Linked DNA regions of Xenopus tropicalis. Each later gene encodes a partner of the first gene's protein in a complex. Links are inferred from orthologs where the notes say so. Each region holds a gene or a part of one and is shown on either strand. Other genes may lie near its edges.

Region 1 (4,516 bases):
AATATATTACGCAGCACACAACATATTACGCAGCACGTTGCTTGAAAATATGTCGTCGCAAGATAAATAACGCCAAGAACATCGCTTCTTAATTATGACAAGTGTCCTTTTAGTGAATCGAGCGAAAAATAAGAAGTGATAAGATTTTTAACGCATGCTATAAATAGCACTCCTTATTTCTGACTTTAGTGAATCGGGCCCATTGTGTTTTATTGATTTGTATGTTAATGAGGGGATATTAGGCATATTATAATGATGGGTTAGGCTGGAAATTAATAATAGGAATAGCCTCAAGTTATCATATTAATGTTTTTTTGTTTTGTTTTGTTTTCTTAAACGCTCATTATCAGGAACAAAATGCCTAGAAACATCATTACATCAGTGTTGTGGCGCAGCATCAGTACAGCACTATATTCCTCATCCATTTGAAAGACCTTCTGGTAACCTATAACCCTCTATAGCAGGCCAGATAGTCTCCTCAGCACTAGGGATAATGTAGCCTTGTGGGGCAGAGCTGGCAGCGTTTCATATTGTTAAACAAATCCAACAAAAAAAATCCTTGTGTGTGTGTGTTTGTGAATACTTTATAGAAAAATTAAAACAGTGGGAAGACCAGTAAATTGACTCCAGTTAAAACCTGCATATTATTGGATAATGAATATGCTTGTTTCTTATTGGTTCAGGAATTTGTGTTGTTTCACAGAATGGATATTTTATCAGTTTTGTGGAACTGAGTATTCATTTTGTTAATAGAATGAATTCTGCGCTATAGAATCTTGCTTTCTGTCACACGCATCTATTCTGTCCTGAAAATCTAGCTGGAATATGCTATTTAGCTTTATATATTTTGTTGAAGTTTTGTTTTACATTATTCATTCTGTAAGTAACTTTACACATAACTGTTTTTTTATATGGATGTTATACATTTGTGAGACAGAATGCTTGTTAAAATTGATATTACAGTTTGTAATATAATAATATAAAAATTGATTTTGTTCTCATTCTTCACTAGAAATATATCTTTTGTATATTTTTTACCAATGTTTATATCCACACTTTAATTCTGTTTACTGGGGATTGCTTTTTGTATATAGAATGTATTTTTAAAGACAAAATGTACTTTGGACAAACGGCACCCCATAGAAAAATATCAATATTCAGGTGCAGGTGCATAAAATTGATTTAATTTTCACAAAATGTGCTCTATAGCCCTAGTTATTACAACACTGATAATCACATTTCAGTGTTGATATTTGTGGCCCAAAACACTTCTTGAAGATACTCAAATGTATCTAATAGCTACCATACACTCTTTGCTTTCATCAGTTTCATTTACAAATTTGTATTGTCAAAAGAAAACACTAAAATGCCTGAGGCTCACAATTATTTATTTGATTCAGATTGTATCACTATTGTAGAATGATAAATTGTTTTTTCTAGGAAGAATATATTTATTCTGCTATAGAATTGGTATTGCATAAAAAATACATTTATTATTATGTAGACAAACATTTTGCTTAGCCACTTTGGCTCAAATTCTCAAATTTCTTCCTTTTACTACCATTGCAAGTTGCTTGTGTTAAGGTACTATTTGTCTGAAAGCACAGATTTTTGCACTTTAGCGGGATCATTGCTCACTTTTGTCACAGTACTACATAGTTCTAGTATTTTGTGCTGAATACAATATAGTCATCATCCTAAAATGGTTGCTGTTGAAGCAGGCTTTCAAGAGGTCATACATAGGGTTTAAAAACTCTAAGATATAAATAAAGGAAGAAAAAGTTAAGTAAACCTATAGAAAGATCATTACGCTATCTCAATGGACTAAAATGCATGGGAAAAGAAGTTGTAGAGATTCTGTTGAAATCATTTGGGATTAAACAAAAAGCATTTGTTAAAATAATGTAATAGATTAATGTGTTTAGAGCAGTATTTGTACCATAGCTTTTAGCTACCAGCATAAAAAAACCTGACCTATAGGATCTGTAACTAAATTAAATTTCAAGAGTGAAAAAATCCATAGAAACATTCAAAAGAAAATTATTTTGAAAAATCTCCATAGACACTTGCTGTTTTAATAAAATTAATGTTTATTCTATTTTCTTCATAGTATACAGAGACGGCTCTCCTTACAACTACCCATCCTACATCATGCCTACTTGCCATCAATAGGTGGTGTTGATGCCAGCTGTGCTAGCCCATGTGTAAGTCCTAGTGCCAGTCCCCGACATAGACATGTGCAACCTTCTTTTCAAGTCATGGTCTCTGGCCTGTAGGAATAGGTAACACAGGCTTCTTGGACTGCTTCTGTAATCTCAAGAAGGTCTAGACTGCACAAACAAAAACTTTGCTATACATGAAACATTTGCTCTTAAAACAGAGGAGAATACAGTCTAGGGACATAATTCCAAGAGTCCAATATCAACCAGCGTGAGCGAGAGAAGTGAGAGATGCATAAAGACATACCTGGAGCCTTATCTGTGGAGTTTTTATTTCTTTACTCAGAGGACAATGATGAATTCTTCCCAAAACTCTGCGAGCATCAGATCAAGCGCAGAGAACCTATATTCTTGCACAAAAAGAAAAACAAATTACAGAAGATGAACTTTTTAACCCAAGTTACAATTCTAAATATATGGCTGCTATAAACAATGGTTAGTACACTTTATACACATGTAAAAATCTTTTAAAAAAATCATCAAAAAGGAAAATGGCACAGATAGAAATCATTTGCAGAAAATTGTACACGGGTTTGCACAGATATGATCAACGCATTCCATACAGATTTATCCTGCTAGTGTGTCACATCTAAGACTATACACAGTGGGGAAAACGCATCCTTATTAAAGATCCCTCAGGTGTCAGTGAGACATGCAGTATTACCAAGGTTTTGTGCCTGTAACTGAACTATACTGTTTTGACACTGTAGTTTCAGAAGCAGCATGGAGCTGTTAGGTAACCAAGGTTTTATTGTACTGAGCAAGAACAATTTGCAGCACAGCACTTCGCAGAATTTGGGAACAGCTCTGTTTCACTGCTCGCCATTTGGGACAATGTTTTACTCTCTGTAATTTTTTTTCTTTTTAAGAAATGCACAGACTTAATTGAAATGCAGGTTTGAGAACTAGTACATAGCTTAAATGTCACATGATGGATGATTTGTCACAGTTATTGTATTTAATTTGTTCTATACAGTGCCACACTTAAAAAAACTACAATAAAACCAATGTTATAACAGATTCCGGTTCTTTAGGCACATTAGGAGCTATAAAGCTTTGAGCCGGTAATGTGTTAAATTCTTTTTACTGTGCATTTAGCCAACCCCTGAGAATTTTGTATAATTTTCCAACAATTAAGTGGGTTTGAAAGTAAATTTTCTAAATTTGTGACATATGAAAGACAAGATGGAGATCTGAGGAGATTTGCTGAATGCAGGCAGACAGGATAATAGAAAAACGATACATAGCCAAGAAATAAATAATATGTTTTGGCATAATGTGAAAGTATATCTCAGGGGTAGATCATCTTCCATTCTGAAACCCTTTCACTTGTTAATTGTTTTAAGGAACCTGTTTAAAACAGTAACATTAAAAAAAAATCAACATACATATATCCAACAGGTGTTTGGGCTGATACAAGTATGTATAAGTACCTGTATGTAAGAAAACCATTTCCATCATGGTTTTCTGAGCAAACAGCCTGTCACAAAATTGCATGACTTTCCACTATCATTCTTTTAGAATGGGCAACAAAAATCACTATCATCTATAGGCAATGCTATTATTTTAATAATTAGCCAAAAGCCATTCAAATTAATTGATTGCAGTGTTCATTTACAATGCTTTATACTTCTTATTTGAACACAATTCCTAAATCTATGAAAGATAAAATGGGGGCTGCATTTTTTTATGTGTCACGGAAATTGCATTTTTGGAAAAGTTAAAATTAGTACCTGTAAAAATGGTAGTTTGTGAATAAACATTATAAAAAAAAAATGACAATTTTAAAATTTTGTTTACACTTCATTTGGATTATCCTTTACAAAAAAAAAAAATCTTATGAATGCACCCAATGCCATGGTTAAAATATATACAATCTACGTGTGATTTTGCTCCCAAAAATACAATGGACCAACTAGTTCTCAGGCACATGTATATGTACAATGTATAAACATAATTTACAGTGATCTAAATAAATGATTCTACCTTGGTATACAAGAAACAAAATGTATATCAGAAGCCAATAAGAATTCTGTTCCACTGACTTTGTTACAGCTGTTCTTTATTGTGGTTACAACTTGGTGAAATATATCTTTCCCTCAGCTATAAAAATAGTTTGACCTTTGCCTACTGTTACCTCCTGAATTCGCACAATTGTGAGAAAATATGGATCTGGGCACAAGAAATAATATGGATCTTAGTGGTATTATGACTGAATAACTAAAATACACTGTAATATTTTTACATAAAGCATTTAGTGGACCACATATATAGATGCCTCAAGGAAGGAAAAAAGG
Region 2 (3,829 bases), on another chromosome or scaffold:
GGGTGGAGCTTCAATATCTACATCTCGTTCCAGAAGTAATGTTTTAAATTGGCTATAGGAGGGCGATTCCAGCTTATTTTATAGGTAAATAAATGGTGACATATAGGTAAATATTTTTATATCATACACTGCTGAACTTTAAAATCCCACATTAATATTTAACACATTTCAGTTTTAGCCATGCATCTGCACATTGTGATCAAAATACCCAATTATTAGATTGTAACAGTGGCCTAAGCAGACAACTGGATTCTTTTTAGACCTACCCATTAGATATCTAACTGATCCCCAGGAAGATATTGGTCAGAAAAGCTATCTTGGCCAAGGCCAGTTAGCTGCCATCTTACCCTGGAGTCATCTGCTAAGGTCCTGGCTCAGATATACAACTTCGGAAGGAGAATTACATGCATGCGTGGCCTCTCTAATTAATCTTCCTTGGTGCTAGGAAGGAAAGATGGACAGCTACCCCACTAAACATGTAGATAACCCTTCCTACTGGATGTAAGCACCCACCCCTGAAATGTTGTGATTCTTTGGCTTGACACAAATAAACCCATCCTGCATCATAGCTGTGTGCTGGAGTGTTTAATGTACTGACCCAGGTATCTAGCTTGGAAGCTAGAAGAATATTGTGAGAGCAGCACCTCAACTAGAAAATAAAAATACTTTTATTACTTTCACAGGCACAGATCATGATATCTAGCCCATTGTTTGCTGAGGAACATACATTCTTGAGTGCAGTGCTAATGCAAGTGTGTGTTGACTATTCTATTTTTAGTAGACAAGAACAAACAGCTATCACCGCTGCTTTTACTCATCCTTGTCTTCATTTAAGAAATAAAACTTTTTCTTATGTTATATTTTCAAACTTATTTTTATTCTTATTGGCTGTGCACAGATGTGCAAACTTTAGTAAACCCCAAATTCATTACCATAAGCCCAATAGGTACTGGTGGTTGCTCATAGACTAACTGTAATGAGATAATGAAGTTAAAGTGGACCTGTCACCCAGACATAAAAAGCTGTATAATAAAAGTCCTTTTCAAATTAAACATAAAGCTCAAAATATTTTTTTTATTACCACATCCATACCCATTATAAAAGCATTTTAAAATCCCAGCTGTCAATCATATAATGCCTGCCCCGCCTCTATGCCTTAGGCATAGAGGTGGGGCAGACAGTTACTTTAATTTTCAATTCAGAACTTCTTAGATGTTGCTGCACCCCTCACATTCCCCCTCCCTCCTCACCATGTAACTGTGTAACCAGTGCATGGACATGGGCATCGGGTCCCCCCATACTGGCACAGAAACAAGATATTGGCAGGATGCAATGCCTGCTTTGATAACAGTGTCCACAAAATGGCCCCTGCCTGCTTGCTGCAATTGTGAATTCCATGGCTGAAGATAATAAGATTAAAATAATTTATACAGTGTAAGTAAAGTTTATTTTGCTTGCCAAACACAATAGAAAACAATTTAAAATTATTTCTTAAGGTGACAGGTCCGCTTTAAGGAAAATGAATGCACAGTTATGATATTTTGTATGCAATATATTGTGGAAATTTGTTGTGCTACACACTGTATGTATAATTCAACAAACTGGGGGAATTTGTTAGTGTTGCAGAGTCATTCAAGACCTTTTCCTCCAGAGGTTGCAAACCCATGAAGTGAAAATATTCAATTTACAGATTTTACTTTTAACAAATGCAGTGTAACAGTAACAGCTTCCTTTTATTTGATGAGAAAGGGTAAATGAAGCAGAAAGGAAAGAAAAGCACACAAATAGGGCAAGCACTTAGGAATCTAGCCAATATACACATAAATCAATAGCCTTCATGAATAAAGTTCTTGAAAATTCACATAGCCAGCTGTACAGTGTTACTGAGCAGTCTTTCCTAAGGTACGAATTAGATAAGTTTCTGTTTAGCCATTATTGATTCTTTTGCAGCTTTATATAGAACAAGACTTACTTTGGGCCTGTGAAAGACACTGGCTAAGGCTCTAGCAGACTCTATGGCTCCCACCTCCATGACTTGGATATGCTGTTTGGAAAAGTCTGCACTTTATTCCAACTTAATTAATAAGAAACCACTAGACTGATGTACAATACATGAAATGAGTATGCAAAGCAATCCTAAGCATGGGTTCCTAGCAAATCTTTAAATTAAATCTAGAGATAGAGATAGAGAATTTGACTGGGCCATGTCAGCCCATTCATGAGGTTTTAAAAGGGTTTCCCTAGGGTAGCAATGTAATACCTGAATTATAATATGGGGGCAATTTAATAACATTTGTATTTCTGTAATCTTTGTATTTTTTTTGTACAAGCCTCAAAAAAAGCCTTTATTCATTTAATAAATTCTTGATTTTTAGCTGAAAAAATACTAACATTGGTAAATAACCATCCTAAGACTTTACTGGATAAACAGCCAATAAAATGATGATGCCAGTTACCTGTGAAGTAATGGGTCATATACAACATCCACATTTCTTCCATTAAAGTTGTATAAATTGCCAAAGAGGGCACTTAGAAGCCTTACATCTCTTGCCGTGTTGCTATTACATACTGTATTAAATAATGACCTAGAAAAACAATATCTACCAATCATGCTGGGAAGAAACCAACTGGAACCATATCCTGCACCCCCCTTGTTCTCTTTCTGTGAGTTTGTGTTAGGATAGGGTATGCAGTACTGTACATTTGTAGCAAACAATGGTCATAAGTATTTGTTAAGCAGTCATTATTTACTGTTCTAGGGAGAAATCAAGTTGCTATTTAGAGGTCAAATTCTTTTTTGCTTTGTGGTGCTGAATTGCCAGCTGGGCTGCTGGGATCTTTGTCTTCCTTTGGTTAAATAAGTAGAATGTTTTGGAAAGGTTCAACTTGTTTTCTTTTCACCCTTACAATTTTATTATGCCTTTCCTCTGTTTAACTATATGGCTGCTTCTTAGTAGACCAAAAATTGAAAAGTATTGCACTGATAACCATTCAACTTCTTTTGCATATCACTTTTAAATACATATAATAAAGATGACAAATAGAATCACAAGTTATTTTTGTTACTTAAATACACAAAGTAGAATACTAACATAGTTGTTATTGGTTTATTTTAGGAGGGCCTTCCAAATGGCAATCATCAAACCACTGTGACTGCTGCTGTAAGAACCCCAAAGGGGACAAAGAAGGAGAAAGTGGAACATCGTGCAATGAACTCTCCACTTCAAGTTGCGATAGCCAATCGGAAGCCAGCTCCCCTCAAGAGACAGTCATCTGTGGGCCAGTAACTCGTCAGTCCAACATACAGACTCTGGATCGACCAGCCAAGAAAGGACCAGTGCAGATTCTCCAGCAGTCTGAAATTCGTCGGAAAAGTGACCTTTTGCGAACTCTGACAACGGGCTCCAGAGAGTCCAACACAAGCAAAAAAAAAGTAATGAAAGAAAAGCTTTCCATTGAGGAAGAGCTGGAAAAGTGTATTCAGGATTTCATGAAGATCAAAATCCCAGACAGATTCCCAGAGAGGAAATTTTCATGGCAACAAGATCTACTACGAAAATATCACCTATAGAAAGGGAGGGAAATTATTATTGAAACACAGTTCTATGATACATAAAGCCTATTGTTTATTTGGTAGATTACCATGCCCACTGAAAGTACTGCCTAACATACATATTGTATTCCATCCTAACCCCATTGCTGTTGGATAGGCCTTGAAAGGATTACAGGCAAGACCAGCACCAAAGGAGTTACCATAGTTACAGGGTATTACATTTATTCTCTTTGTGGAAGCACAATGTATTATGTTTCTTTGTAATTTTCAGTAAAA

The links.
Region 2: the proteins of gabbr2 (region 1) and kctd16 are in contact, whole or in part, in a crystal structure (PDB 6M8R), measured with the Homo sapiens proteins. The link is inferred for Xenopus tropicalis from reciprocal best matches to the Homo sapiens genes GABBR2 and KCTD16. Residues at the interface, in NP_005449.5 of Homo sapiens: Ile882, Asn883, Ile888, Gln889, Arg891, Leu892, Ser893, Leu894, Gln895, Leu896, Pro897, Ile898, Leu899; in NP_001357415.1 of Homo sapiens: Asn30, Gly32, Gly33, Gln34, Val35, Tyr36, Asp64, Leu65, Ala66, Lys67, Asp68, Ser69, Arg72, Phe74, Gly79, Phe80, Arg83.

The regions. Positions count from the first base shown.
Region 1 is NC_030682.2:77,343,372-77,347,887, reverse strand, and holds the end of gabbr2 (gamma-aminobutyric acid type B receptor subunit 2), read left to right. Parts: intron 1-2,110; coding exon 2,111-2,276; 3' UTR 2,277-3,995; downstream 3,996-4,516. UniProt on the Homo sapiens protein: Component of a heterodimeric G-protein coupled receptor for GABA, formed by GABBR1 and GABBR2. Within the heterodimeric GABA receptor, only GABBR1 seems to bind agonists, while GABBR2 mediates coupling to G proteins.
Region 2 is NC_030679.2:39,047,170-39,050,998, forward strand, and holds part of kctd16 (BTB/POZ domain-containing protein KCTD16), read left to right. Parts: intron 1-3,116; coding exon 3,117-3,571; 3' UTR 3,572-3,829. UniProt on the Homo sapiens protein: Auxiliary subunit of GABA-B receptors that determine the pharmacology and kinetics of the receptor response. Increases agonist potency and markedly alter the G-protein signaling of the receptors by accelerating onset and promoting desensitization.